Linked DNA regions of Saccharomyces cerevisiae S288C. Changing the gene in region 2 together with the main gene of any one other region gives a genetic interaction. Each region holds a gene or a part of one and is shown on either strand. Other genes may lie near its edges.

The links.
Region 1: mutations in EDC2 (region 2) and BCS1 impair growth when combined (synthetic growth defect), as found in Saccharomyces cerevisiae (2 studies listed by BioGRID, with this or other methods).
Region 3: mutations in EDC2 (region 2) and MET22 together harm fitness more than expected from each alone (negative genetic interaction), as found in Saccharomyces cerevisiae (2 studies listed by BioGRID).
Region 4: mutations in EDC2 (region 2) and RPS0B together harm fitness more than expected from each alone (negative genetic interaction), as found in Saccharomyces cerevisiae (2 studies listed by BioGRID).

What each region holds. Positions count from the first base shown.
Region 1 is NC_001136.10:1,220,387-1,228,542, forward strand, and holds BCS1 (bifunctional AAA family ATPase chaperone/translocase BCS1), read right to left. Parts: upstream 6,151-8,156; coding exon 4,780-6,150; downstream 1-4,779. Other genes in the region: CTS2 (putative chitinase), read left to right, coding at 1-562; VPS74 (Vps74p), read right to left, coding at 726-1,763; FRQ1 (frequenin), read left to right, coding at 2,373-2,945; PHO92 (mRNA-binding phosphate metabolism regulator), read right to left, coding at 3,088-4,008; WIP1 (Wip1p), read left to right, coding at 4,371-4,640; ARH1 (NADPH-adrenodoxin reductase), read left to right, coding at 6,436-7,917.
Region 2 is NC_001137.3:219,221-226,339, forward strand, and holds EDC2 (Edc2p), read left to right. Parts: upstream 1-3,418; coding exon 3,419-3,856; downstream 3,857-7,119. Other genes in the region: ZRG8 (Zrg8p), read right to left, coding at 1-2,067; YER034W (uncharacterized protein), read left to right, coding at 2,626-3,183; ATP-binding cassette family ATPase ARB1, read right to left, coding at 4,147-5,979; PHM8 (bifunctional nucleotidase/lysophosphatidic acid phosphatase), read left to right, coding at 6,669-7,119. UniProt on the Saccharomyces cerevisiae protein: mRNA-binding protein which stimulates mRNA decapping by DCP1 and DCP2.
Region 3 is NC_001147.6:205,331-212,819, reverse strand, and holds MET22 (3'(2'),5'-bisphosphate nucleotidase), read left to right. Parts: upstream 1-5,643; coding exon 5,644-6,717; downstream 6,718-7,489. Other genes in the region: ribose phosphate diphosphokinase subunit PRS5, read right to left, coding at 1-576; APM4 (Apm4p), read left to right, coding at 825-2,300; CRT10 (Crt10p), read left to right, coding at 2,555-5,428; phosphoinositide 5-phosphatase INP54, read left to right, coding at 6,935-7,489. UniProt on the Saccharomyces cerevisiae protein: Phosphatase that converts adenosine 3'-phosphate 5'-phosphosulfate (PAPS) to adenosine 5'-phosphosulfate (APS) and 3'(2')-phosphoadenosine 5'-phosphate (PAP) to AMP. May regulate the flux of sulfur in the sulfur-activation pathway by converting PAPS to APS.
Region 4 is NC_001144.5:237,535-245,264, forward strand, and holds RPS0B (40S ribosomal protein uS2 RPS0B), read left to right. Parts: upstream 1-4,697; coding exon 4,698-4,787; intron 4,788-5,146; coding exon 5,147-5,815; downstream 5,816-7,730. Other genes in the region: STU2 (Stu2p), read right to left, coding at 1-169; YLR046C (uncharacterized protein), read right to left, coding at 467-1,279; FRE8 (putative ferric-chelate reductase), read right to left, coding at 1,813-3,873; MLO50 (Mlo50p), read right to left, coding at 6,352-7,638.

The DNA.
Region 1 (8,156 bases), on a different chromosome or scaffold from region 2:
TATGATCGATAGATTTGGCGTCAATTCTAGAAAATTAGTACTGGGAATGGCCGCCTACGGAAGAAGTTTCCATATCAAAGATAACAAATTCGAACCATTCAATCAAAATACTGTATTAATTAACAAAATTTTCAAAGGAGTGGGCAAGCCCACTAAAGAAATAGATAAAGCTGATGGCAAGGAGGGCATCTGGCCTTACAAAAATTTACCAAAGATTGGTACAATAGAACAATACGATCCAAAATATGTTTCAGCATATTGCTTTGATGAAAAAAATTCAATATTTATCAGTTATGATAACACTAAATCAGTCAAAACTAAGGCTGAATATGTGACACATAACAATTTAGGCGGAGGCTTTTGGTGGGAGTCATGTGGTGAAGCTTATGCAAATGAGTCAAGGTCGTTGATAAACGCATTTAATGAAGGCTTGCACTTTAATGTGTCATCAAAACCATCAATATTTCAAGATGTGAGAGTTAAAAAATATTACTTGAATAAATATGGCGATGGCGGATTTTTATCTCCATATTTAAAGCATTTGGATTCAAGAAAGCAATGAATACGAATGTGGGCGTATATAATAACAAAAAGTTTGGTCTATTTATTATCCACTCCGTATATGTATATACATATATACAAATTTCGTTTATTAATGTTAGAGGCTTATAAAAAAAAGCTTGACTTTTCCTTATGTTTCAAAGAGAGGATTTTTGTTGTTATTTTCATAATAGCATATCCATTCTTGAAAAGACTTCAAATACACCAGCAATAACTTCCAATTGTAAATCATGACCAGGATTGTTTTCTATCTCTTCTTTAACTTCCTTGTTTAAATTAACGGAGACACCTAACTCAGTTTCCTTTTCTAAATCAAATGGGTATTGCGAAAATTGTGCCATTATTTCTTCAGCTCTACTAATTGCCTTATCTCTCTTCTCATATTCCAACGTAGTCAGGACATTCTCCAATACGTTTGCCCCATATGATCCACATATTAAAGCTAAAGTTCTAATGATTTTGAAAGATGTTGTCTCCGGAAAATATTCATTGTAACTTAATTCCATGTTCCTCGATACGAGTACAGAAAGTACTCTGCGCTTAATGGCTTCTTTGCAGCTGGCGTCTGCAATGGGGTGTGTCGCCATGTCAAACAAAAAGAAATTTTTCATTTCTGTTCTCAATACACCTTTATCGACCAAACCTTTTGCCAATCTTTCCCTTACTTGTTTCAATTGATAGTTGATCTTTAAAAGGTTCCATGTTTCACCACTTAAAAGATCAATCCAGTTAGAAATTGACAAAGGTTCGTCGTTTTTCATCAATTGCAAAGTTTCATCCAGTAAAACTTCCCCAGTTTTGGAACTGTCAATAACTTCAATCAACCTTTCGGAAAGATCGAACCTTTTCCTGGCGGAATCATCTAAGATTCTGATTTTACCTCTTAACGCTAATTCTATAATTATACAACCACGCAAAGCATATGAAATACTATCATTCCAAAACGACAAATATCCTTCTCTATCTCTTAAGCCCATCAATAAGACTTCTTCCATCAACGTTAACGTAGGGATATTGATGTTGTCTCTCAATTTCGATTCTTCTGGGTCATATGCAATCTTTTTGTTTGTTCCATTGTCATCATCCCCGTCAACAGCAATATTTGCGATTTTGTCTCCTTTGGTATTGTTAGCAGAAGAATGAATGGAGGAAGTATCTCCAGAATCCGCCCTATTGACTCTACGACGTTGTAAAGTAGACATGATTTTTGCTTTGTATTTTTTTAGATAGTTTTTGTTTGAATTCTTTTACGTTATCAGATCAAAAGTTGTAATGAAAATATAGCCAACAATGAAACTGCTAATTTAGCTCTATTTGTTAGCGTGGAAATTTGAAATTTATTTTTAATCTATAAATGCAGCAGCCCAAACCGAAACAAAAGAATAAGTGAGTTGAACAGAGTAAGCAACGGGCCGATATAGAACTGAAAAAGTCAACGTACCCAGAAAGCAATTAACTGCGACACAAATAGATGTCAATGTCCAAAAAGGATAGATAAACAAGATTACGATCCAAGGCAGGGATCTAATTGTTTTTAGGTAAATGCGTACCCATTAGCCTCTTTTTTTCAGTAGTAGTTGACTGCTCAGGAAGTAAAAAAATGAGCCAGAATTGATCATTAAAAACGAAAAAAGGGTAACTCTTCGGTGTATTTTTTATTATTATACCATAGAGTACTGAAATAATGTTTAATTTGTCAACGATTGAACTGATGAACTAGGGATATTACCTCCTGTTTTATAATTGTTGCTAGTTTAAGAATCGGCGAGAGTTATTTTGTGCTTGAAAACTGTTTTTGATTCAAAAAAAAAATGGGAGCCAAGACGTCAAAGCTTTCCAAAGATGACCTGACATGTTTGAAACAATCCACCTATTTTGATAGAAGAGAAATCCAGCAATGGCATAAAGGATTTTTGAGGGATTGCCCTAGTGGCCAACTAGCTAGGGAAGATTTTGTTAAGATATACAAACAGTTTTTTCCATTTGGTTCTCCTGAAGATTTTGCTAATCACCTTTTTACAGTTTTTGATAAAGACAACAATGGATTCATACATTTTGAAGAGTTTATCACAGTTTTGAGTACAACGTCCAGAGGAACTTTGGAGGAAAAACTGAGCTGGGCTTTCGAACTTTATGATTTGAACCATGATGGATATATTACATTTGATGAAATGCTAACCATTGTGGCGAGTGTTTATAAAATGATGGGGTCTATGGTTACACTTAATGAGGATGAGGCAACGCCCGAAATGAGGGTAAAGAAGATCTTCAAGTTGATGGATAAGAACGAAGATGGTTACATTACGCTGGACGAATTCAGAGAAGGTTCTAAAGTCGATCCCTCTATTATTGGTGCCTTAAACCTTTACGATGGCTTAATATGAAAACTTTGTTTTTGCTTCTTATGGATTGGATGTTATAACAGTAGAAGTAATTTTAGGATAATTTTAAATAAAAATAATATTAAAAATAATAATAATACTAATAATAAATGAGAATAAAATGTTGATAAATGAGGGATAAGGTCTATTCATACGTCTCATCCAAGAAGGAGAAAATATCAGAATCTTGAGTTTTAAATAGATTAATTATTGAAATTCCAATCGAATATGGAATTTCTTGAGTATCTCTGGAATGTGTTATCGGTTTCATTTCATTGGATGGTATCAAAAACCTTTTTAACGATCTGTTATTTATATCACGCACGATCACCCATCTTACTTTAAAGGCTTTGCCATATTTTTGTTCATCTTCCCATATACTGGTGTCCAAATCCATTTTCAAATCCGATACCATTTCTGCAACGCCACAGAATCTTCCTGATGTGTTGATTGAAAAAAATAAAAACACTTTGGCTCCCGAATTAAGCTTTTTATATGCCTCAGATAGCCTTTTGTTGCCGAAATGAGTAGACGACCAAATTCCGTTGTAAAACGACCTTTTGACATGCTTCAAAGACGAGGACTTTATTACAAAAAATCTTGAGTTTTCTGGAATATTTAACCAAGGGGGAATAATTGCAGCACTTTTTCTTTTATTAATTTCATTGAAAGTTTGTTCTTTAGTTGACTGCTGCAAATACCTTGGTTTGGATAAATATTCCCTGTAATAATTATTATTGCTATTATCAGATTGGTTGTAGTCTCTAGAAAAGGAGAAATGCCGATTTAAATTTGAGCTTGTCAATGGAATACTATTAATCTGGTGTGTATAGTTTTCATGAGTGATCTCTTCTTTATTTTCTTTCTTGTTAATATCATTTAAAGCTGTGACATCGTTCTTTAGCTTTGGGTTTGTTTGTACTTCAATATGAGTTCTCTCCAAGGAATGGATCAACCCATCTAGTTCTCTTAAAGAGTCTTCAATTGTCCTGTCATTTCTCTTATTTTCTTTCCATTCAGAGTTGAAGTAAAAATTTGGGGGACCTGTAGACCAGATTTGATTCATTTTTAGAGCACAACGCAATACTTACGTCACACCAGCCGTAGACGATATCTTCCTTTCTTAACGAAATAGTAACAGAGGACACAATCTGAAAACTTCTTTTGCGATTCATAACCAACAGAAAATTTTGGAGGAAAACAATGTAGCTGTATAAATATATATATATATATATGTATGTATACTTATTTATTTATATATATATCACAAAAGGCTACCAAAAAGATTAGCCGCCGAGGTACATCGTGAGGAGTGATATTCTGGGGAAACGGGTAGCGATTTCGTGTCTATTTTCGGTCACCAAGTCAACGTTACTTACTGTCGTATAACCAAAGTACAACAATAGCAACAGTTCCTAACATTCTTCCATGGATACGGAAGCATTGGCCAATTATTTGCTACGGCAGCTTAGTTTAGATGCGGAGGAGAATAAGCTAGAAGATCTTCTCCAACGGCAAAATGAAGATCAAGAGTCTAGTCAAGAATATAACAAGAAATTATTATTGGCATGTGGATTTCAGGCCATTTTAAGAAAAATTCTGCTGGATGCTAGAACAAGGGCAACTGCAGAAGGTTTGAGGGAAGTATATCCTTATCATATTGAAGCTGCAACGCAGGCTTTTCTGGATAGTCAATGAAGGGGTATTTTTAAGCCTCTTTATCATATACTCTTTTGTTCGTAATAGCAAATAACTCGGTCTTATTAACGAGAAAAAGTTAAAGCATCTTCTGAATTTTTATTATATACAAGTTATGTAGTAAGGCGCCACTTAGCACCTAGAAAATATGATTAGCGTTCCGTAAGCTGGAGACCATTTTCAACGCATCGTGTGGTGCATCTTTATTCATAACGAAAAGTCCTTGCAACTGGGCGGTACTTACGGTGATATCCAATTCTTTAACACTATTTACAAACTTTTTGCATATATCAGTCTCACCTGGGTAAAATTTCATAAACATTTTTTCTACCTGGTATGGAGTTGCGTTACCAACGAAGACTTTGTAGTCAATACGACCTGGTCTCATTATAGCCGCGTCTAGCTTTTCAGGATGATTGGTAGTCATGAATGTAATAGTTTCTTCAGAAGATGTGACGCCATCCAGGGCATTCAGTAAACCGCTAAATGTTACGCTAGAATGAAAACCTTGTTCACCAGTTTGACTTCTTTTGTTGAACGCCGCGTCAATATCTTCCAGTAATAGTATGCTCCTTTCTGGCATGTTATTCATTAAGTGGTTTAATCTGTCATCTGTTAAATTATTTTCGGAGAGGTTTAAAATACAAATGTTGTAGTCTAATTCGCCCGCTAAAGCCTGGATAAAGCTAGTCTTACCAGATCCGGGAGGGCCATAGAGTAAATATCCCCTGCGATATGGGATACCCCTGTCAGAGTACCATTTGCCGTTCTTCATAAAATCATAAACGTCATCGAGAATACCCTCTTTGATGCCACTGTCCAAAATGACGGAGGGCAGCATCCTTTTAGCTTTTGGTTGACCAAACTTTCTCCATTCAGGGCCGAAAGAAGTGTAAATAACAGTCTTGCCCTCAGTAGTCTTCAGGGCTATGTCTTTAGCCTCGTTCAAAATGTCATCGAACAAATGTTTGTCACGGTACAGTGTAGTTAAGGTTACGGTCTCAAATGGTGACCCGTTTGCGATATCTATCATTTTTGCGGACCTTTCTCTTTTAATCAGGATAAAAGCACCCTTATAACGAATCCAATGATTTCCCGGACCCGGAACCAGCGAAAATTTTGTACTAACTGATCCATTGTCATGTTGTATGTAGTTTGTCCTAACGGATAAGTGTCTAGATACCCTTTGAGGATGTTTGGCCATCCATGTTAGAAACCAGGCGTATGATTTGTCCTTCGACTGAATCTCTAAGTCGACAATCATTTGTCGGTATAGGACCCTGCTGGCTTTTATTATACCGGATCTAGCTACAGCTAAACCTGTACCAAGGATCATAAGACCACCGCCGGCGGCAAAATAGGGATTGTTTGACATAGCATCGCCAACTAGTTTTGAAAGTTTTTCCCGGACTGAGTCATTACCAGTTTCATTTGTTGGCGGAGTAATTACACCACTCAGATTTGGAGTAGCCTGTTTATCATATTGTATGTCAATCGGCTTATCCGACATGGTAGATTGAGGGCACACTTCATTTTTTTTCAAATCGTCCCTTGGTACGTCTACTGCGTTGCAAATATAGAAGAGTGGAAATCTTTACTTATACTATTTACATCGATTTTTCGGCACTCTTTAAGGGTAACTCAATCGAGATATAATTCGAAGAGCAGTAAACTATAGCTCGAACGTAACAGAAAGTTTTTTGCTTGCTATAGTTCTTGGCCACAACGCCTCATTCATTCATTTAGAAAGTTTCTCACTCTTTCTTCTTCCTTTTTTAGCTCATTACTTGTGAAAATGAGCTTTGTTCAAATAAGGCACATTTCTTCACAAATAAACCGTAAGACTGTATCCATTGTTGGATCGGGGCCTTCCGGCTTTTATACAGCGTACCATTTACTCAAGAAGTCACCGATTCCATTAAATGTTACTATATGGGAAAAGTTACCTGTTCCTTTTGGTTTAAGTAGATATGGTGTGGCACCTGATCATCCAGAAGTCAAAAATTGTGAAGAAACGTTTACCACATGTGCAGAAGAGTTTTCTTCCCCTACAAACCAAAAGCATAAATTTTCCTTTGTTGGTGGTATAACCATTGGAAAAGAAATATTGTTGAAGGAATTGCTGGATAATCAAGATGCTGTTATTTTAAGTTATGGTTGTACAGGGGACAGAAAGCTGAATATCCCTGGCGAACTCGGAACAAAAGGGGTGTTTAGCAGTAGAGAATTTGTCAATTGGTACAATGGTCATCCTGATTTCGCAAAGGATAAGCGATTTACCGATTTTGACTGGAGCAAAGTTTCGAAAGTTGGTATTATAGGAAACGGTAACGTTGCTCTTGATATTACGCGTGTACTTATTTCTAATCAAATTGATGAAATATGGGAAAATACGGACATCTCATCTCTTGCACTAAATTTGCTAAGAAGGGCACCTGTAAAGGACGTTAAGCTAATTGCACGAAGGGATTTCGTTCATTCCAAATTCACCAACAAAGAATTAAGAGAACTATGGGAGTTAGAAAAGTATGGCATACGTGGCCGTATTGATCCTAAATTTTTCCAGAAAGAAATGTTTGACCCATCTAAGTACGATCGTGCATTCAATAGACGAGTAGAGATGTGTAGTGAGTATCTCAAGCCATTTAATGAACGTTCGAAGAAAAACTATAAAAAGGCTCCTCCTCCAAGCAGCGGATATGACAAATTCTGGGAGTTAGATTATTTGAAGACTCCCTTGAAAATTAATAGAGACGATTTTGGTGCAATCAACTCTTTGAGTTTATGTAACAATCGATTAAATGAAGATAACAGTTTGCAACCCTTGAAGGACGTCAATAATATTATGACATATAAAGTGGATTTGCTGATTACTTCATTGGGATATGCAGGCGTTCCCATGCCTGAATTCTCTAAGTTGTCTATTGGATTTGACAAAGATCATATAGCTAATAAACAGGGTCGTGTTTTAACTTCCAGCGGAGAAATATTCCCACATTTATATGCATCTGGTTGGATCCGTAAGGGCAGCCAGGGCGTTATTGCCTCGACAATGCAAGATGCTTTTGAAGTTGGAGACAGAGTAATACAAGACTTGGTGGTCAGCGGAGCGCTATCCTTAGAGAATTCTATCGACCTCTCTAATATCAAGCACACCACATGGAAGGATTGGGAAAGAATCAACAAGAAGGAATTGCTTCGGGGCAAAAAGGAACACAAAACTCGGTCAAAGTTTTTAACTTTTGAAGAGTTGTGGAACGGTGTAGAAGGCATATAAAATAGATCGTTAATATATTTCTAACATCTTCTTGTAAATGTAAATATTTTAAAAGGGTTGATCTTATTACGGAGAGAACCAATCATATCGAAGGATTTCTCAATAGTAAGTATCCCGCGCGTGGTCCTCGGGGAAATAGAACGAGAAACTTCAAGTACTTGATAGCAAGAAAGTGAGTGCTTGGCTTCCCCATTTTGATTATAAAGAAAGGCATTATTTTCTAGGGCAAGAAAAGACAT
Region 2 (7,119 bases):
GGAAGCCTTTATTGCAGAAGTGTGCTCCGTTTCATCATCCGAATTATTCCTTTTGAGAGAGAAACTATAGTTCGGCTTTCCATCACGTATGATATTTTTGTTAGATTGACTATAGATCCCCCGTGTTGATTTTGCATTTGCTGGTCCACTTTCTATACTAGGAGCTTCATCGGAAAACATATAAGACTCAGCTTCTGACATCTCTTTGTCGTCGTTATCGTCCTCATCAGACAAATCGAAAAGGTCATTGTATTTTTGAATAGGCTTCTTGACATTATCGTTTATTAGAAACTGCTCTTTGTTGTCAACCGTTTCTCCAAGAGATGCATCATCATGGTGTCCGCCATGGTTACCATTAAAAGTTTCTTTCCCGTTTTCTAATCGTTTTTGATAAAGATTATCACTCTCATTTTCATCTCCATTGTTACTGTTATCTTTACCATCCTCCTCCTCATCATCATCGCTCAAGTTAAAAAGATCATTGAACTTTTTGACTTTATTGCTTTTCAAGGATGTTTCTTCGAATCGAGTCGATAAACCGCATATTTCGTTTCCCTCATTACCACTCTCATCATCTTCTATACAATTCATATCGTCATCAAAGTTCTCATCCTCATATAGATCGTCTATGTATACATTTGCCGCCGGTTCCGGTTTGGAGTAATACTTTACAGATGATGTCCTTACGTTTATGCCGGCATATTCAAACGAAAATTCCGACTCATCATCATCATCATCGTCATCATCATCGTCATCATAATCATCATCATGATCATTATCGCCATCACCGTTTTCAGAAGATTCGTCATTACAATCGTTGGCTTTATGGGTTTCTTTTTCATTGACAGAGTATTCATCGGAATTGTTGTTGAGGGAATACACCTTTTCTTCTTCTTTTCTATTAAGACTAATCCTTACTTTTTTCTTGTTCAAGGTCTCGTTTTGACTATCGTTTTTGTTCACTTTTGAAGGTGATGATTGTAAGTCGCCGTGTCGTATCTTTGGTGAGAGGGAAAGTGTTTGACTATAAAAACAAGGTGACTTGTTTATTGGTGATGTGGTTTCGGAAGAGGTTAAAGTGGAAGTAGTGGTCACTCTTTCGATGTCTAATATTTTCTCATCGGTTTGTTCATTAGAAGATTGGTCATTATTAATGGTGGTGGTTGAATTTCCGGAAAACGCAGCGGCTAGTAGACTCATATCCATTTGAGAAGCCTTTCCCAAATTTATTATATCATCATGAGAATGAATTCTTGCTTGTCTGTTTCTATTTTTGGCAAGCGCTAATGCTTTATAAACATGATGTTCCTTCTTAGATGACCCGTCCTCAGCATCGTCGATATTTTCCTGCTGTTTACCCTTGTTCTTGTTCAATATTCTTATGGCAGGTTCCAGGTTAGATGGTGATGTAGTTGAAGTTAGATTTTCATTGCCAATGATAGGGGTTTTGAATTGTTTAGAAGAAGTCGCTTCAGATGTGTTTGATGCTGGGGAAGCAGGATCGTTTAATATTATTACGTGCGATTCGACCTTGGAATCTCCCCACGAATGAGTAATTGTGCCCTTAATAGCAGGCAGAGAGTCTGTGGTTCTATTAAAATCTTTTGCAGGAGAAGTTTTTTTATATGCAGTATATTCACTTTCATTGTCATGACGTGAAAAGGAAGAGGTAGAAGAGGAAGGAAAGAGCGGCGGTGGTAATGGCGGCGGAGGTCCAGTATTTTTTGTGGGTGGATTTTGGAGAACAAATGAATTTGAAGTAGTCTGATTTGTGCTTGTGGTTGGAGTTGAAGCTAAATGCGAGTTTAAGTTTGAGTTTGAAGTTTTCTTGAACAACTTTGAAGTCTTGTTAGCCAAACGATGGAAAGACTCAAATCCAGGTGAGTGTTTCGCGGGTGGTGGAATGCTATCGTAATTCATTTGTGATGGTGTAGATGGTAGAAAGTCTAAGGAGTCATCACTTGACCTTTGAGAACTATTATTAGTATTGCCACTGAAGTTGCTATGTCGCTTGGGGCTTTCATCAAACGACGTGGACTTCTTATGGGCTTTTATGAAAGACCGCATGATGAAATATTCCAGTTATGCGTGTGCGTCTTGTGATGCAGATCCTTTTGGGCAAAAACAGTTGGTTTGTGCGAAAACGCAAGGTAATAAATAGGCTTAAAGGAACTAAAAAAAAAAAAAGGAAAATAACCAGCTAAGATTTAAGGTACAAGAAAGCGGTTGCACCTCAAGTAATGATAGTTATTAAACCTTGGATTGGACCAGATGTTTAAAATTGTTTTCAATAGTAGATTTGCAGTCGTAAATGCGTTCTCAGCAATATCATATTGTGTTTATGAAGTATTACCAAACGGGTAGAAGAACGGTTTAAGAGAATATGTCCGGATAAAGCGATCAGGAGAAAAGCTTAAAACCCAAAGTGGTCAATCTGCAGCCCATTTAGGCACTCTGCATTTAACCGATACCCGGATTGAAGAAAGCTGGCGGGTGTATGGGTGAAGGAGAAGAAAGGAAGTGATTAGGAGAAACCTCATGGAGATGAGCACATGCTACAACTAATAACGTTATTCTACTTAAAACGAGCAAAACAAAAAAAAAAACAAGACAATTGAAAACGCAATGGATGCATTCAGCTTAAAGAAGGATAATCGAAAAAAATTTCAAGATAAACAGAAATTGAAAAGAAAACATGCCACACCCAGTGATAGAAAGTACCGGCTATTGAACCGCCAAAAAGAAGAGAAAGCTACCACAGAGGAGAAAGATCAAGACCAAGAACAGCCCGCCCTGAAGTCAAACGAGGACAGGTACTATGAGGACCCGGTACTCGAGGACCCGCATTCTGCAGTCGCCAATGCAGAGTTGAACAAGGTGCTAAAAGACGTCCTCAAAAATCGGCTCCAGCAGAACGACGACGCCACAGCCGTCAATAATGTTGCTAATAAAGATACTTTGAAAATCAAAGACCTCAAGCAGATGAATACGGATGAGCTCAATCGTTGGCTCGGACGGCAGAATACAACATCGGCTATAACAGCGGCTGAGCCCGAATCATTAGTCGTTCCCATTCACGTACAAGGTGATCATGATCGTGCGGGCAAGAAGATCAGTGCCCCTTCGACCGATCTACCGGAAGAACTAGAGACCGATCAGGATTTCCTTGATGGACTGCTCTAATCGCGCGGTACGACAGTTACTGCGTGAAAAGATTATCAGCGCCCCTTTTTTTCTTCTTTGTTCTTAACGTTTCTTTTTCTTGCGGCTTATGCCCGTACTTATAAAACAACGGCCTCCCGTGCCCTATTACCTTCCTGATAGACCGGACAATAACGTCACTACATACAAAGTTATACACTAACAGAAACTCAAACACAAACGTTTTTATAATAGTCAAAATTAAATATCTCTCATAATGGGTTCCGAGACAAAACATTCTGCAAAAGTCAAGATTGTCACAAGGGAAAGTCCTCCTTCCGCCAAGGAGCACATGCGCCCCACTAAAACTCAAATATTAGTTCCACCGACGCAGAGTTTGCCCAATGGCAAGAAACCAAACTTCGGTAAGTCTACAAAACAGCGGCGAGAACCTAGGGAACGCACCTCGAAGACGGGACACGAGGACGATAAGGCAACGATGGTCACTGTTAACATAGATGCCTTCCTACATGATAAGGCCCCTAAAAAAAAATCGTGCAAATACAAGAAGAAGAAAACGAGACAGTACCAGGATAGGGCGGCGGCGTCGATCGATTCGAAACCGCACGTAGCTGGTCATACGGCCTTTGCCGGTGCTTCGTTCACAACAGATATCCCACATGAGGCAGCGCTACCCAAACCTAGTTTTGTTTGAGTAGCTGTGATTGTAAATTTTTTTATTTCTACTTGAGCGGGCGGGCTCTCATTTTTTTTTTTGGGGTTTTATTTAGGTCGGATTATTCATAAAGATGGCATTTATATACATTTTTACGCAATTACCCTCATATTCTTACACATACGGAGAAGTCATTGTTATATCTTCTTGCCTTCACATTGTTATCGGTGATTTTCTTTCTTTATTGATTGATTAGTTATATAAATTATTGCTATTAAAATACATAAAAGGGGAAGTAAAAACGTGCACGGCGCAGATCAACTTCACAATTACAAAACAACGTTCTTGGCCAATTTGTTCTTATATTGCAAAATGGATCCGTCCCATCTGGTAGCGGTCTTGTTTTCCACAACGAAAATATCTTGGGCAATTTTGTCTAATAATCTGAAATCATGCGAAACGACGACGACACCACCGTTAAATTCGTTGATGGCGTCGGCCAAGGAGTCGATGGTTGGGATATCCAAACCATTGGTAGGTTCATCTAATAGTAGGACATTTGGTTGTTCTAAAGCTAATAAAGCAAAGACGACACGAGAACGTTGACCTTCTGACAAGGTAGCCATTTGAACGGTTTGACCTTCCCCGGTTAGCCCGTAGCGACCTAGTTGGCCTCTCCAGAATTGGAAATCTTGTGAGATGTTAGAGTACTTGTCACGGACAAATTCTAAAGCAGATTTTGTCAAGTCCAGTTGATCTTGAGAGTGTTGCGAGTAGACACCCAACTTGACATGGGTATGTCTAGAAACACGGCCAGATTGTGGGGTCAATTCACCGGTCATAATCTTCAACAATGTGGATTTACCAACACCATTTGGTCCGACAAGGGCAATACGTGAGTCCATATCGACACCAAAGTTCAAATGTTCGTACAAGTTTTCGGATGGGTTGCTCTCATAATGAAATGAAATATCATCGAATGCTAAAACTGGTGGTGGCAATCTTTCCACTTGTGGGAATCTAAATGAGAAAACTTTGTCAGGGACGACAGGTTGGACTAAACCATCTGCTTCCATCTTGTCCAAAATTTTTTGTCTAGATTTAGCTTGTTTCACCAAGTTAGCATAAGTACCAGCAGATGCAATGAATTTTTTAATATGTTGGATTTCCTCTTGTTGTTTATTGTATTGTTTCATTTGATTGGTTTCCAATTCGGATCTTGTCTTGTGATAAGAATCATAGTTACCACCGTAAGCAGTTAGTTTTTGAGCTCTCATGTCAATCATATTGGTACAAACACCGTTCAAGAAATCTTGAGAGTGGGACACCAAAACTAAAGTTCTGTCAAATCTCTTCAAATATTCTTCTAACCAAACACAAGCTTCCAAATCCAGATGCGCAGTAGGATCATCCAACAATAATAGAGTTGGCTTAACGAAAAGAGCTTTTGCCAACGCAACACGCATTTTCCATCCACCAGACATATCTTTGGTTTTCTTCAAAATGGTCTTCTTGTTGAAACCTAGACCGATCAAAATGATAGCAGCTCTAGATTCAAAGGTGTCTGGATCCAAAGAGTCCATTCTTTCATATAGAGGCTCTAATAACTCGGACTCAGGACCATCTTCCAAGATAGTCTTTTCGACTAAGTCTTCTATTCTTTTCAATTCGTGTTGAGCTTCAGTGACAACGTAGTCCAAGGCCGACAATTCACTTGGTTCCGCAGGTTCGTCCAATAAATAAATATCAATATGCTCAGGAATAGGATATTCTCTAGTAGCAAGAGCCTTTAAGAATGTTGACTTACCACAACCATTTTCTCCCAGAAGACCATATCTACGGCCGTAGTTTAATTCTAAACCAGAATCTTGGATCAAAACTTTACCGTGGAACAGTAAAGAAACAGAAGATAGCTTGATATCACGGGAAGTCTCCAATGAACTCAAAACACCAGTGACAACACGATCTGAAAGACCATCCTTATCTTGTTGCAACTTCATCATCTTGATTTCTCTAGCGGCTGCATCTACCTCCGATTCTTCAGCAGCAGCCTCCTTTTTTCTACCTAGCTTTCTGATGGTTTTACCGGCAGCGGCTTTCTTAGCCTCTCTTTCAGCTTTCTTAGCATCTCTCTTGGCCTTTGACGCAGATACTGGTGGCATATTTGGTTCTGTCAAGTTACTGTTTGTAGCACTGAGGGGAAGAAAACAATTTTTGCAAGAAAAAAGTTAAGAAAGAAGAAGAAAAACTACACGGGCACTAACATGTTAAATATGATAATATTTTTTTTTATAAGAGAATCACTACCAAGTTACCTGAACTACGTCAAGGAAAAGCCATTAATTGAGATGAGGTGAACGAAGAAAAAAAAAAAGAAAAAAATTTTTATTTTTTTTTCCATCGGTCTCCCCCCTCACCTTTCTTTTTTCATTCGTTTAAAGTGAGATTAGGGTAATGCATTTCGTATTTAGTGAGTAAACGTCAAAGGTGATATAGGGGGTTTTTCTTTTTCCAGAAAAAGAAAGAAAAAAGCCGGCGGTCGCCGCCGGAGATGGTTGAGAAAAAAAGGGGGCAGCAACGTGCTTCACATACAAACCAAGTTCTTGGATCTGTACGATCGTTTCTGCGGGTTTTTCCGTATTTGCCGCAATACTGAAATGGCTCATTATTAGGAGATGTGCATATAATGTATATACATACATTTAGCATATGTAATACATTCGTACATGTATAGAAATATATGTTTATATATATATATATATATATATGTATATACGAACTCGGTTTAACGCATAGTTGGTAAAAGATTTAATGTAGATAAAAAACACATAAGTTTTATACGCACGTAATCATGACTATCGCTAAAGATTACAGAACAATTTATAGAAACCAAATCAAAAAGCAGATACGACTAAATCAGGAGCATTTGCAAAGCTTGACACATCTAGGCTCACAAATCAATTTCGAGGTGGATCCTCCCAAATTACCGGATCCGGATCCTGCTCGAAAAGTATTTTTCTTTGATATCGATAACACTTTGTACAGAAAATCTACGAAGGTACAATTGCTCATGCAACAATCATTATCAAATTTCTTTAAATACGAATTGGGGTTTGACGACGATGAGGCAGAACGCCTAATCGAATCGTATTATCAAGAATATGGATTATCCGTGAAAGGTTTAATAAAGAATAAACAAATTGATGACGTCCTACAATATAATACATTCATCGATGATTCCTTACCTTTGCAAGACTATTTAAAGCCTGATTGGAAGTTAAGGGAGCTGCTGATCAATTTAA
Region 3 (7,489 bases), on a different chromosome or scaffold from region 2:
ACCGGGAATCATAGGAATTCTTGAAAAAGAAAGCGTCTTCTTGATGTCGAAATTGTTATTCGCCGTAGCACTGCTGTTTGGTGTTCTGATAGGTTGAGGATTTTCTAAGTTGATAGTTGATCGTATTGCACTATCCAAACTCTTCAACGAGCTCTCAGCACCTGGTCTTTGCGTCATTAAAGAAGATGACACGGGTGTGCCTGGATGCGATTCAAAAGTATAGTTTTCTTTAGGCTTGGAAATTATGGGAGCACCCTTGGCAGTATATGGAATATCTGGCTGTCTCGAGTAGCAGAGATATGGCATTACGGCTGTAACCCTCGAGGCAGAAGCGGACTTGCAGGCACTGATTAAAATCAGCAACTGCATGAACGTGTCGTTCACCTGGCCACAACCACTCTGGATGATATATACATCCTTTTCACGAACAGATTCGCGAAGAGCAATGTTCGTTTCCCCATTAGAAAACTTCCCTAATTCTACTTTCGATGGGTGAATGTCCAAATTTTCACAGATCTTAGTAACTAACTCGGGGTGCGAGTCCCCTCCAAAAACAACAATATTACTCATTGACATCCAGACTGCGTTCCTAGCCTCGTAGCAACCTCCAACAAAGTCACTTTCGACCAACTTACTCTCATCTCATCCAGCCCTTCTCGCTAATCGTAGCCATTTATTATTTGATAGAAAATTTTTTTCAACTGCGGTCGAAGGGTAACAGCCATATTTTCCTTAATTGATTAGTATAGGAGAACTTGATGATAAAGTGTGGAAACCTTTCATAAACGGTTGGAGAAAAGAATCACATAGAGTTATGGTGAGCAATGATTAGTGGTGTGCTGGTATACTCATCGAGAGGTGAACTTGTCTTGAACAAGTTCTTCAAGAACTCGTTGAAGCGGTCCATATCCGATATCTTCCGAGTACAAGTGATCAATAATCTAGATGTTAGATCGCCTGTTTTGACACTGGGCTCAACTACTTTCCATCACATCAGGTCGAGGCATGGTGACAATTTGTGGTTGGTAACCATTACGAGAAGCAACGCTAATAGTGCGGCGATCTGGGAGTTCTTATATAAGCTTGATGCAGTGATGAATGCTTATCGATTGGATAGAGAGGAGGCCTTGAAAGAGGAATTCATGATTGTGCATGAGATGCTGGATATAATGTTGGGTGGAAATGGGATACCAATTGACACTGAATTGAACTCTGTTATAGCGCAGATGTCTGTGAAACCCGTTAGAAATATGGGCGGATTGTTAGATAGTCCCGATGGAAATGATGTATTATCTTCCTCTTCATCTCCTACTTCTTCAGCAGGAGAACTACATTTTCCCAAATTTTTGACAAAAAGAAGCAGTAGTTTCCTGGGTCAAGGAGACTCCACTTCTGATTTCTATGATAACAATAAGATCACTTGGAGGCCCAAGGGGATAATACACAAGAAGGATGAAGTTTTCTTGTATGTCAATGAGAGGATAAACATTCTGGTATCTAGGGATGGTTCTATCTTGAAATCATACGTTGATGGCACCATAGATATCACCACACACTTGAGTGGGACCCCTATTTGTAGATTTGGATTGAATGATTCTTTGGGAATGCAGTCCGAAGACGAGAAGAAATGGTTAGCACAGCAGCAGCGTCACTCTGGCAGCGATTTTGGAAACAAGAACTTCATTCCCAAAGCTGCTGCCGGTAGTGTTTTGTTGGAAGATTGCAAGTTTCACGAATGTGTCTCACTTGACAAATTTAACAGAAATCATATCATTGAATTCGTCCCACCAGACGGTTCGATGGAGTTGATGAAATATCATGTACGAGATAACATAAACCTGCCGTTCAAGGTTACACCTATTGTTACACATTCTACAAGAGATAACGAGATTGATTACAGGATAACATTGAAGTCTTTATTTCCTGGAAAACTTTCCGCCAAAGATGTGGTACTACATATACCCGTTCCACCAAGCACTGTGGATTGTAAGATAAGTGTCTCTAATGGCCACTGTAAGTTTGTGCCAGAAGAAAATGCAATGATTTGGAGGTTCAACAAGTACAATGGGTTGACGGAAAACACTTTAAGTGCAGTTACTGTGTCCACAAGTGATACTACTCAATTGAATCTTCAACAATGGACAAGACCTCCAATATCCCTGGAATTCGAGGTCATGATGTTCAGTAATTCTGGCTTAGTCGTACGATACTTTACCATTTCTGGAAAAGACAGTAAGCATCGTGCTGTAAAATGGATTAAATATATATCGAAAGCCGGTTCTTACGAGGTGAGGTACTAGCCCGTAATTTTTGTGTACATATATTTTTATCATGCCTGTATTTTTTATAGTAATTTCCTTTAGAATGCACATTTTGTTAATATTGAATATTTTCTATTATGAGAGACATGCAATTTAGTTTTTCATTGAAAAGAAAACAGGGAAAAAACATGGAAAAACCATACAAGACACCAAAAACACCATAGTAATGAAGATCAACAGCGCAATCAAGAGGCACTGGTACTTCTAGGCTTGAAAATTTGGTTTTGAATATAATGCCCCCTCAGATTCCCAATGAAAATGATGATCTCTTTACAAGGTGGCTTAAGTCTCGGGCCATCATACAAAGGGCAGTATCGACAAGAGAGTGCTTTGACTCAGAAGTATTTCTGGCGTCTGGTGGCTGGAATATAACGAATGAGATAATAACGTTAAAGAAATATTATCAACTCAAGTGGCCAAACTCCAGTTGCAATTCGTTTCATCCAAAAACCGTGGAGTTTATTAAAGAACGATTACACAACCTAGAAGAACATGACTCTTCATGGAAAATCCCAAATCCTGCTTACTCATTCAAGAAAGCCTTCTTGGAGGATACTAAATCTGCATTTTCCAACTTAGAACCCGTCTGGGGACCATCAAGGCTTTTGAATCCAGCTGAATTACTATTGCCACAGGACGAAAAACTACTTGTTCAAGAGATACCACTAGAGTTCGCACCTTTTCAATACACAAATAGGTTTGCTTATGGTGGTTTGCAGTTCAAGAACAATTTGTTCGTCACTTATGGGAGTTATTCCTTCCTGGCTGCCGGTCAATGCGTCGAAGTTCATAATTTCGATATACTATTGAACGTTTCGTCATTAGAAATATGTCACGCCTTATTGCCCGTGATAATACCAGATGACGGAGATGTAAGAAACTTCCGCAATTCATCATATGTGAAATTTAAGGATACACAGTTCAACAGCATACCTGAACTATGTTCTATCAACTTTATGAAGATTTGTAACTTCATGCATCAAGATTTTCTACTAGCTTGCGGTGACAACGGAATCGTTTATATCTGGGAAATCAACAAAGTTATTAAGATATTTAATAAATTTACTTCGGATATCTTGGGAGGCAAAGATAACAGCCGGGAAAGATACATAAATGTTGATCCATATATGGTGTTAAGAGTAGAGGAATCTTGTTGGAGTGTTGATGTAATAGATATAAATGGCATCATATATATCGCTGTTGGCCATAACAAGCCTGGAGTTACAGTCTTTGCATTCGATAAAGATGTAAAGAAGGAAAGACGGTACATTCGGCCTCTAGATCTTCCCTCATCTCACAATGTTCCTTGTGTTAACTTTGTTCCTAATTCAAAAGATTCTGTTGGATATATTACATTAAGTTATTGTTCTATATTTGGGAATGTTGTTACCGTTAAATTAAAGGAGCATGATTGTACCATTTTAACGAGTTTCCTTGATACTCAATTTTTTGGCGACGACTTATGGACAATAACTCCACTGACTAAGAAGGATTTTGCGAAAGTTGACAATTTCGAATTGTTGAATCTTAACTACCAAGACGGTTTCAAAGAAAGCATGTTATATTCTATTTGCCGAGATGATTTTTTACTTGGGTATTACTGTGATAACGCCTACCTCTCTGGGAATTTCGGTATTGGTACATTACTCAATCAATTTCAGGTTCCTGTCACAGACCTACGACTGACTTCTTCAGCAGGGATCCCCGATGAAGTTATACCATTAAGATTTACCTCATTTGATAGAAATTACACTACAACGGGCTCGATAAAATACGAGTACAGCAGAGAGGATTTTGCACTTATTTTACATGCCGGTGACTTAGACGATATGAATGATGCAGTGACAAAAAACACCTCATGTGAACAGCATTTACACCAATGGACATTTTGGGAGGATTCTGGTTATAAACATTATCGTGCTACTGAGCGTGGATTTTCGAAATACAAGGATATTATTAATACTTTTCCACAGTTGATAACTCCTAGTGGAAGAAATAAAACATCGCAATATCAAAACACTTCTGGGAGAAAGATCTGTGAGCCGTCTACTTATAAACTTACTGATCTCGAAAATGATATTGAAGATATATCTCGCGAATTTAATAGAAGTATTCGTAATTTGAAAATGGATAAACAAAGACAACTACGAACTTCAAAAGAGTTCAAATCGCTAAGTTCAGTAAATCATATACCAAATATTGAATCGGGAAACTTTTTATGGTACAACACCGATGCCGCTGCCGATTGGAGAACACTTTTTGGCAAGGATTTGAACACGGTCTTGAAGGACCCAGAAATTTGTAGCCTTCAACTGAACTCTACAGAAGAGGACGATGTCAATAGCGACCCTGAAAATGAAGAATCTGGTAGCAGCTTAACAAGTTTCCAGCGAAGATATAGGGATACTGAACAGCGTGCTCACTTGAAATCAGAATCGCAGAAATCTTGGGGGTTCCACAACTATGTAAGAAACGTCAAGCGGTTATTAGAGTCAGCAGTACCGGGCTCAGAAGATTCGCCTCTTGGGTATCAACTATCCGAAATGCACGACGAGTTCTTCTTCCTAACCACAGCCCATAGGCTGGTGTTGATGAAAGCAAATCCACTCATAATTATATCAGCAACTCATCATGAGATTTTTCCCTTAGATGGTGTTGTGACGTGTGCTTCCAAGTCGCTGCTCCAAGCACTAAACAGAATAAATTTTGTGTGTCACATCAAAGAACTAAATTGCATAGCCGTGGCTTCACAATTGGGTCTCATTTCATTACTAAGACTAACAGAGTACAGAGGCATCTATTCGTTTAGACAAGAGTATATTCTTGGATGGGAAGTCCAAGACCCTGTTAACCCTAGTCCAGAGTGCAGATGTAACAGGAACTTGTTTGACGCACCAATGTATGGTGCAGATGGAGAGAGCTCGGACACATACTGCGGCGTGTGCGACGTCTATTTCCCCATGGGTGATATTTGCGGACTAGATTACACTTATGCATCTGACAGTGAAGAGTTAAAACGTAAGGGATATGCTACCTTATACGTAGCATCAAGAGGCTCCTTGAGGGCATTCAAGATCACAACTGAGCATGGAACAACTCAACAATAGCATATTTTGACATTTACATAGCCATCTATATAATAATCCTTCCTTCATTGAAATGCGCGAATGACTCAGACGAGCAATATCACGTGTTGCGATTTTACTTTCAGTTTGCAAAGAAGAAACCATGCCACATATAAAGAACGTTTGCACTTCTCTTTAATTTATTAGTTAGTAAGTAAGAAGTTTAAAGACAACTCAGAAGACATCAGCACTTTACTATGGCATTGGAAAGAGAATTATTGGTTGCAACTCAAGCTGTACGAAAGGCGTCTTTATTGACTAAGAGAATTCAATCTGAAGTGATTTCTCACAAGGACTCCACTACTATTACCAAGAATGATAATTCTCCAGTAACCACAGGTGATTATGCTGCACAAACGATCATCATAAATGCTATCAAGAGCAATTTTCCTGATGATAAGGTAGTTGGTGAAGAATCCTCATCAGGATTGAGCGACGCATTCGTCTCAGGAATTTTAAACGAAATAAAAGCCAATGACGAAGTTTATAACAAGAATTATAAAAAGGATGATTTTCTGTTTACAAACGATCAGTTTCCGCTAAAATCTTTGGAGGACGTCAGGCAAATCATCGATTTCGGCAATTACGAAGGTGGTAGAAAAGGAAGATTTTGGTGTTTGGATCCTATTGACGGAACCAAGGGGTTTTTAAGAGGTGAACAGTTTGCAGTATGTCTGGCCTTAATTGTGGACGGTGTTGTTCAGCTTGGTTGTATTGGATGCCCCAACTTAGTTTTAAGTTCTTATGGGGCCCAAGATTTGAAAGGCCATGAGTCATTTGGTTATATCTTTCGTGCTGTTAGAGGTTTAGGTGCCTTCTATTCTCCATCTTCAGATGCAGAGTCATGGACCAAAATCCACGTTAGACACTTAAAAGACACTAAAGACATGATTACTTTAGAGGGAGTTGAAAAGGGACACTCCTCTCATGATGAACAAACTGCTATCAAAAACAAACTAAATATATCCAAATCTTTGCACTTGGATTCTCAAGCCAAGTACTGTTTGTTAGCATTGGGCTTAGCAGACGTATATTTACGTCTGCCTATCAAACTTTCTTACCAAGAAAAGATCTGGGACCATGCTGCAGGCAACGTTATTGTCCATGAAGCTGGAGGTATCCATACAGATGCCATGGAAGATGTTCCTCTAGACTTCGGTAACGGTAGAACGCTAGCTACGAAGGGAGTTATAGCGTCAAGTGGCCCACGCGAGTTACATGACTTGGTGGTGTCTACATCATGCGATGTCATTCAGTCAAGAAACGCCTAAATAACATATATTTTACTTTATTGATAGACATAAATATATGAGTACATATATATATGTGTGTATGTGTATGTACATACCAGTTAAATGATAACCTTTTTTTATTGTTGTTATAGCGTGAAAAAAGGAAAATACAGTGAAAAGAACAAAACTGAAGAGGTAAGAGTAGGCTAACAAAGAAGAAAAGTGAGACAAGAAAATACAGCAGGATTCTGACCGAATGAACAAAACGAATTGGAAGGTATCTGTAACTACATTCAATTGTGGTAAGGAATTTCCCGTTGAAAATTCGAAAGCAATCGTTAAGCAATTGCTTTTCCCCTACGATGACGGCATCTCCCAATTGGAATTGCAAGATCTATATGTGTTGGGGTTCCAAGAAGTAGTCCCCATATGGCAAGGCTCCTTCCCTGCTGTTAATCGTGATTTAATCGATAGAATTACAACTACTGCGGTTAATTGTCTGAATGAAAAAGTGTCAGCTACACAAGGGGATGAGCAGTATTCATGTTTAGGGGTGAATAGTCTTGGGGCGATTACCATAATAGTATTATACAATAATAATGCGCTAAAGGTAAAAGATGATATTTTGAAACGGAATGGGAAATGCGGTTGGTTTGGTACACACTTGAAAGGTGGAACTTTGATAAGTTTTCAGATGACACGCAATGGCGAGGAGAACTGGGAAAGATTTAGCTATATTTGTGCTCATTTAAATGCAAATGAAGGTGTCAACAATAGAAATCAAAGAATAGATGATTACAAACGAATAATG
Region 4 (7,730 bases), on a different chromosome or scaffold from region 2:
GATCCCTCCAGTAAATTTGTATGTTGTCATCCCTACTGATGTCGCCAACGGAGTTTCTAAAAAGCTGGTTTAACTCCTTATAAGCTTCTAAACGTGCCTTCCATAACTTGTACGTTAATCGCTCTTCTAGGGGTAACGTTGTATAATCTACTTCTTCTTCTCCTGACATAGTCAACTTCAAACTCTTTAATAAAAACTCAAAAATACTTTACACTGTAAAGATAGCTGTTTCTTTGTAGTTTAGTAATGCTATTTGGTCCCTAGGTCTGGTAGGTTCTTCATTTACTCTTCCTATGGAGTGTCAAGCAGACAAAACAAAAACAAAAACAAAAACAAAAACGACACGAAAAAAAATAGATTCGTTAACCATGATAATCTTTGCACCATATAAAGGAAAAGACAAGATTGACTTCTAATGCCCAGCACAAATATTATCCAACTATTTAATTAATAAATTTTTGACTACTTAATCTTCAGACACAGATTCCTTGTCTAATAATTTGTTTAATTGAATATTGACAGATTTATCCTGCAGCTTGAACAAATTTCTTGCGCGAAAGGTTGCTAGGAAAATCAAAGGTAGTAAAAACATTAGAACTGTATCGAAAACGTAAAGGCACCATTCGTGCTGACCTATATAGCTTTGTAAGCCCATTAGAAATTGTACTACTCTGACAATGGTTCTACCATTAACCAGCAATATCCCAGCTAAAAGTATAAAATTGTACTGGAACCATTCATTACTATCCCGCACAATTTTACTAGGCGTTGCCTTCATTTTATAGTGAAGAAAAAGTTGACTGAACGTTAAAAAGGTATAACAAAATATCTGAATGAAAAGACCCACAATAATTAGGATACGCCCAGTATTCCTGCTGTTCCATGAGGATAACAACCCACCTCCTACAGCCTGTAGGACACGCCCAATCATATCTGCCACTACGAAAGAAACTGTACTAAATTTCGCAGGAATTAACATATATGCCTCCATAAGAATTAGACGTGCCATTTTGCTGAACAACATAAAAATACTAAGGGCGTAAAGTGAAGGTGCTATCAATAGAAGCACCGATTGAGCAATGAAAGTCGAAATCGAGGGGCTATTGATAAAGACTATTTTCAACACATAACCCACGAACTCTAAACAAATCCCTAAAACGAAAGGAAAATGTGTCCACATCAAACCGCGGGCAGGAAAGTATATTATTGTGGAATTTTCCTCTGACAACTCATTGTTTTCCCAGCGATGAATACGTCTCTTGCTCGTGTGTGTTGCCATTATGATCTGCACCAAGGCAGAAAGGATTAAAATGCCAAACAGAACGACAAATGCAATCGCTGCACCTTTGTGAGGATTGTATGCATAAAAACCTTCATAATCAGTGATTGCTTTAGTAAAAAAATTCCTATTGAGGCAGTTGAGTTCTTTTATCGACAATAAGTCTCTAGTACAGTAGTGAGAGTGTCATGTATTCAGTACCAAGAAGAACTTATATGCCTTTTATAATTCATCTTATAAGTTGCTAGACATACAAATAATCAATATGGAAATGTGCTTATTCCCGCTAATATCCATTAATATCCGCTGTCATTTTTCGCAACTATCACCAAGTGGAGAGAGGCTTGACAACCACCAGAAAAAAACTAAATCAGCCTGCGGAACTTTTCTCGGAAAAAATCAGTTAGAAAAGATCGTACATAGGGCCCTTTTTTGACAGTAAGATTAAAGAGCAAAACGGGACATTATAGATATGCCACCATCAAATACGTGAATTTTCCAAGCCTCATAAACTAATAGCCAACTTGCAACTCTTATAATGCAAAACTTTCTCCGTGAAAGTGTAAACCACCATCTGTCGCCCATCTTTTGGTGCTTTCAATTAAGCCTCTAGGGCCTGCAGCGAGAACCCATACTTGTGACAAATATTCAGCATGGTCTCTGCCTTGATTCGCCCACCTGCAACATTGAATAGAATCCGTCTCTGCATCACATTCGGTTTGCAGACACCATTCATAATCCTTATCTCCAAGTGTAGGCCTGCCAAAGAACACTTTAACACCTGCGGGAATTCTGATCTTTTTAGGCGCCGCCTCTAAACAAGGATCTTGGGCAGGTGGCTCAATGATCTTTGGTTGTCTGAAAACGCTCGATCCGTTAAACGAAGAATGTGTAGTTAGAGTTCCTTGTGCAGTATTTTTCCTTGATTTGGATCTGCTAAAAGCATATGTAAAATCTATCTCGTCATCAGCATTGATGTCAGGTATATCACTTGTTTTTGGTGGGTGATGGTTTCTCAAGGTAGATTTCTTACTTAGAAGGGCTGTGTTCTCATTGGGCTCCGTAGGTTGGGGATTTCCATCTGATAACATGGAATTATCTCCCAGTTCTGAAACTCGGCCGCTCGAAGAAATACTCCTGACTTCATCATTAATATCAGCAGCGCAGTCATGATAGTCAATATAATCAATTTCTATGTCCTGTTCGTTGCCTTCGGTGCCACTAATATATATCTCCATACCTTCAAAATTGTTTTTGAAGTGGTTCAATACTTCCAGATCCTTATAATCTCTAGAAACCCAAAGGAGCCTAACGTTTACACCGTTGAAGTTTAGAATACGAAGTAGTGGTAAGCCAAAGGAAATTCCTGAACCTCCAACACACATAAACACTCTTTGCGCTTTAATTAGAAAATTTAAAGGCGAATTTATTAGTGCAGAAGAATTGTTTCGAAATGGATTCTTGGAAGATTTCGTGGTAATATTAAAAGGAACAGTAGGTTTAGAAATGAAACTCAACTCAGGTTCAAAAGCCCCTGTAATGTAATACTTTTCATTTGTACGCAATGGAAAATGCCCGTTTCTAATAATTAACCTGACCAAATTATCACTTGGAATACTAGCAATAGTAAAAGGATGTTGGAAGGGTATCAAATGGGAGAAAAACCTCCTTAAAAAATTTCTATGGTAAATGTTGATCCTTAGATGCCCTCCTGGTAGGATGGGCTTTTTGGGTAAATCGGTTAATGGGAACTCCAAAAGAGACAATGATGAAGAAATGGGTACTATCGTAACTCTCGTAACATTGGTGATATGGAGCCTATAGACGATTTGTCCCGTTAATATGAGCACATTTAAAGTGGTATAATATGAAATTCCTGGGCGAGCGTGATAATGTAGAAACACCAAAATAAGCCATGTGCTTACATAGTGAACATAGTAAAAAACTCTGTAGCTCCATCGTCTGGCATATCTCACAGAGGTGATGGCAATCAGTAGGAAAAGGCCGAGGGCAATAACCCCATAAATGTTGGGTAGTTTTCTCATTTTCACGTATAACGTATCATTAATGTACATGTAATAGAGATAGAACCACGTGTGTAGAATAGATTCAAGCACAACAATTCTGGAAATCCATTTGTGGAGAGGTAACAATGCTAAGTATAACGTGTGAGGTAACGGTGATGGCCTCAACGTTAGAAATAGTAAAGGTGGCATCAAAGCAACGGAAATTCTCCCCATTCGCTTAGTAATTTCTAACAGATCTCCGTTAGCGCCTTGTATAACAAAAAACGAGGTGAAAACAAAGCATATTAAACATAGTTGTAGTGACTGTTTGTGATACATATGTGTTTTGTGAACCCATGATCTTCTGTTGAAAACATGATGCTTTAAATGGTGACATATTTTGAAGAATTTGTCAGTTAGCAACAAATAATTCATTAAGGGTATAATAACACATATTATAATGAAAGAAATTAAAAGACATATCTGAGAATATTTGCGGACTCTTAAAGTTCTAAAATGCTTGTCCACGTCGACATCAAAACTGGGAAGATGTTCCTTGAACCAGCTAACGATGGACTTTAAATTCATGCTGAAAATAACAATAAATAAAATACAGTAAACTTTTTTAGCGGAACTTCTATTGTAATTTAACGATTTAATCTGAAGAGATGTAGATGTAATAAAACTGTTAAAGTGGCAACGTGATAATTAAAAGCTTGGCAAAAATAAGAGATCAACACTAGCTTTTTCTTTTTCCACCTAAATTTGAAGGGAAATAAAAAAGAAATTGAGGCTGTACAGAGTGTTAATCTTCCATAACGGATACCACCAAACGTTTTTACCCTAAACTTAAATTTTATTACTTATTTTACATGCATAATGGCTGCCATGCGTAGTTCATACATGTTATTTGCACCCTTTTTCTTTTTCAATAACAAAAAAGAGCTTGGGCATTACGTTTTCAACACTTTTAATATTTCCCTTTTTACATCCGTACATATAAAATGTAAACCCATGCATTCATGACAATTTTACCTATTTCTTAAAGGCCTTTGTCACTTCTTTATGGGAATGGCGCTACTTTAATTTTCCGCCTACTTTGAAAAATTTACCAAGGCGAAATTGAGTGCGCTAGGCGGAAGTTCCAGGGCACGGTCACCGAACCTTTGTGCTGTTTCGAACGAGGGTCCCGCTGGAGGTTGACGGACGCGGGAGGAGCTGGAAAGATGGAATGGAAGGACTGCAACACTCAGTAAGAAGGTTCGTGGTAGGGAACATCACCTTCTCTAGTTCCTGTAAAAATAATATGATCAAGTTTGAATCCTCGTATTGAAAAATCGCGAGTTATTAAGTGTGTAATTTAGAATACCGAAATAGCACAAGAAGAGATAAGATAAGATACTGATAGGATAATGTCTTTACCAGCTACTTTTGATTTGACTCCAGAGGATGCCCAACTTTTGTTGGCCGCTAACACCCATTTAGGTGCTAGAAACGTTCAAGTATGTACACATATCCCATACGATTATGTTCTATAGATGATAATAGGTCTCGAAAAGAATATGTCCCCGATTTAATCATATTTGGAGGTCAGAGGACCAAAGGTAATTTCAGAGGAATTTTGAACACGCCGGGTTTAGAAGAGTTAGAATTTCACTTCTTAGTGAGGGTAAGGAGAAGAAACTCAATAAGAATATACATCCTCGACTGTGTCAAAGATTATGAACTCCGATGAAACAGTAAAACGTCAAAAAATTCCACGGGATATAATTCGGTACTTTATTGGATATGGAAGAAAACATTATATATGCACAAATGAACGCTCTTACTAACATAATTTATCTTTCCTCTCTTTTTTTAGGTCCACCAAGAACCATACGTTTTCAATGCTAGACCAGATGGTGTTCACGTTATCAATGTTGGTAAGACCTGGGAAAAGTTGGTTTTGGCTGCTAGAATTATTGCTGCCATTCCAAACCCAGAAGATGTTGTTGCCATCTCTTCCAGAACCTACGGTCAAAGAGCTGTCTTGAAATTTGCTGCTCACACTGGTGCTACTCCAATCGCCGGTAGATTCACTCCAGGTTCTTTCACTAATTACATCACCCGTTCTTTCAAGGAACCAAGATTGGTTATTGTTACCGACCCAAGATTAGACGCTCAGGCCATTAAGGAAGCTTCTTACGTTAACATTCCAGTCATTGCTTTGACTGATTTGGACTCCCCATCTGAATTTGTTGATGTCGCCATCCCATGTAACAACAGAGGTAAGCACTCCATCGGTTTAATCTGGTACTTGTTGGCTAGAGAAGTTTTGAGACTAAGAGGTGCTTTGGTCGACAGAACTCAACCATGGTCCATCATGCCAGATTTGTACTTCTACAGAAACCCAGAAGAAGTTGAGCAAGTTGCTGAAGAAGCTGCTGCCGCTGAAGAAGGTGAAGAAGAAGAAGTTAAGGAAGAAGTCACTGAAGGTCAAGCTGAAGCTACTGAATGGGCTGAAGAAAATGCAGACAACGTTGAATGGTAATCATTTGAAAACCTTGCAATGTGTGTGAATATTGTAAGGAATTGAGAAAGAGAGATAAAAAAAGAGACAGAAGTATCACTTCCTTTTCTAATTTTTCTTTTTCATTTTTTTTTTAAATTCATCTATCGTTTATCTTTATCTCATATATATTTGCTTCTCTCTGAAGCGTCATCATCTATCTGTATTTTTAATGCAATCATAGTATAAAAATTTTTAACCAAATTCAAAAATTATAATATTTTAAAAGTTTATGCTTTTGTCCTTTTATATTCAAGTCATTTGGCCATTATTACGCTTTTTTTTTTATTAGGTAAGTGGTTTCAATAATTAAATTCTTTAGCGGGAAGGCTGACTATCTATAGTATTGAAGATAAGTTAAATTAATGTTTAGTTCTGATATTTCATTTTTATTATTAATTAAATTTGCACTATTCGCCATGACGGGTTCACCCGAGTATTTATTTTGCTTTCGTTATACATATATATATATATATATTCTTCCAGGAGAAATACCTGCCTTCTCTCTTACCCCTTGCTCAATCTAAATCAATCCGTGACCTTAAATCTTCTAGCAGAATGACTAAGTCACAATCGATTTTAGAAATTTGAATAACCAGCTCAGAGATATTACTGACAAAAAACTTGTAATGGCACTGTTTTAGCAAGTTTAAGATAAATGTATCCATTAAGAAAGCATTGATTTTATTCGGACCATAATAGGTAGTCACTATTAGAATATCTAAAAGTTCTAGACCAATACCATCTAATTTGTGCTTATTCAATGCGTTGGTCATAAAATTTCTTATTACAGGCTTGATGAAATCCATTATCACATTTAATTTCAACTTGTCCTTTAAATGGTAGTATAAGTTAGGAAAGTCCTGATAGAACTTCCCCTCAGTAACCGTGTAAGAATTCTTGTTGTCCTTATTGTCATCGAAACGACTATTCAACCAGGTAACGTTTTTCGTCAAATTGATGAAAATAGACCGGGATAGAGTTTCCTGCTCTTCGTTGTTACAACATTTCCTTATTGCTAGATACAATGAGTTGTTCGCATACTGACTGAAAAATCCGGCTTCGTCTAGTTCGCTATAGTGATATAAACATCTCTTGTATATTGGAAGACGAAAATCGTTCGGTATCCCAAACCAATATAAGTTATGCTTACTTATCACCAACAGCAGGTCCGTCTCATCGCCAGATGTATGACAACTTCTCAAATTGCTCCAAAACTTTTCCAATTTTAGTTCTCTTCGAAATAAGTTTCTATTTTGAAACTTTAAATTTAAGATGTTCCTCTTTGTTTCCGATTTAATGAGGTTTTGTATGGATGGATCAGTATGAGTGCACAAGGTTTCATCGTTATTATTGGCAATTAATGATAACGATTCTTTTTCACTATTGATTTTCCTTTTATTTTCCTGAATCAAAGAATCTACACTCAAATTTTTTTGTGGTCTAATGACTAATGAAGATGATCCTGATGAGTTCCTGTTGTTGTTTGGAGTAAACAAACCATCAGAAAACACAGAAGACGCAGAAGAAGATGAAGAAGAGTACATCGTTGATCTGTGATTCGGCGAAGGGGCCACAGGACTCCCCTGAGAGTTTGCTCGAGGAATGGCAAAGTTGTCTATTATGGGGACAGCATAACTAATGAGATTAGTATCTTTATCTATTGTTGTGTCCAGAATTGTTGTCCAATCTGTGGTCCCGGAATGTAGGGCCTCTTCTTTCAAATCGTTTCTTGTTATTCTATGCCTGCTATGGAATAGCCGCTGACTGGGTGGTACGTACTCGTGCATGATATTATTAACCATGAGTTGTAGCTGTTTTGTTATATCCAAAGAATTTGGCTAACGTATCCTTGTACGCGTGATTTATTTATATATACGTGCAGCACAATATATAT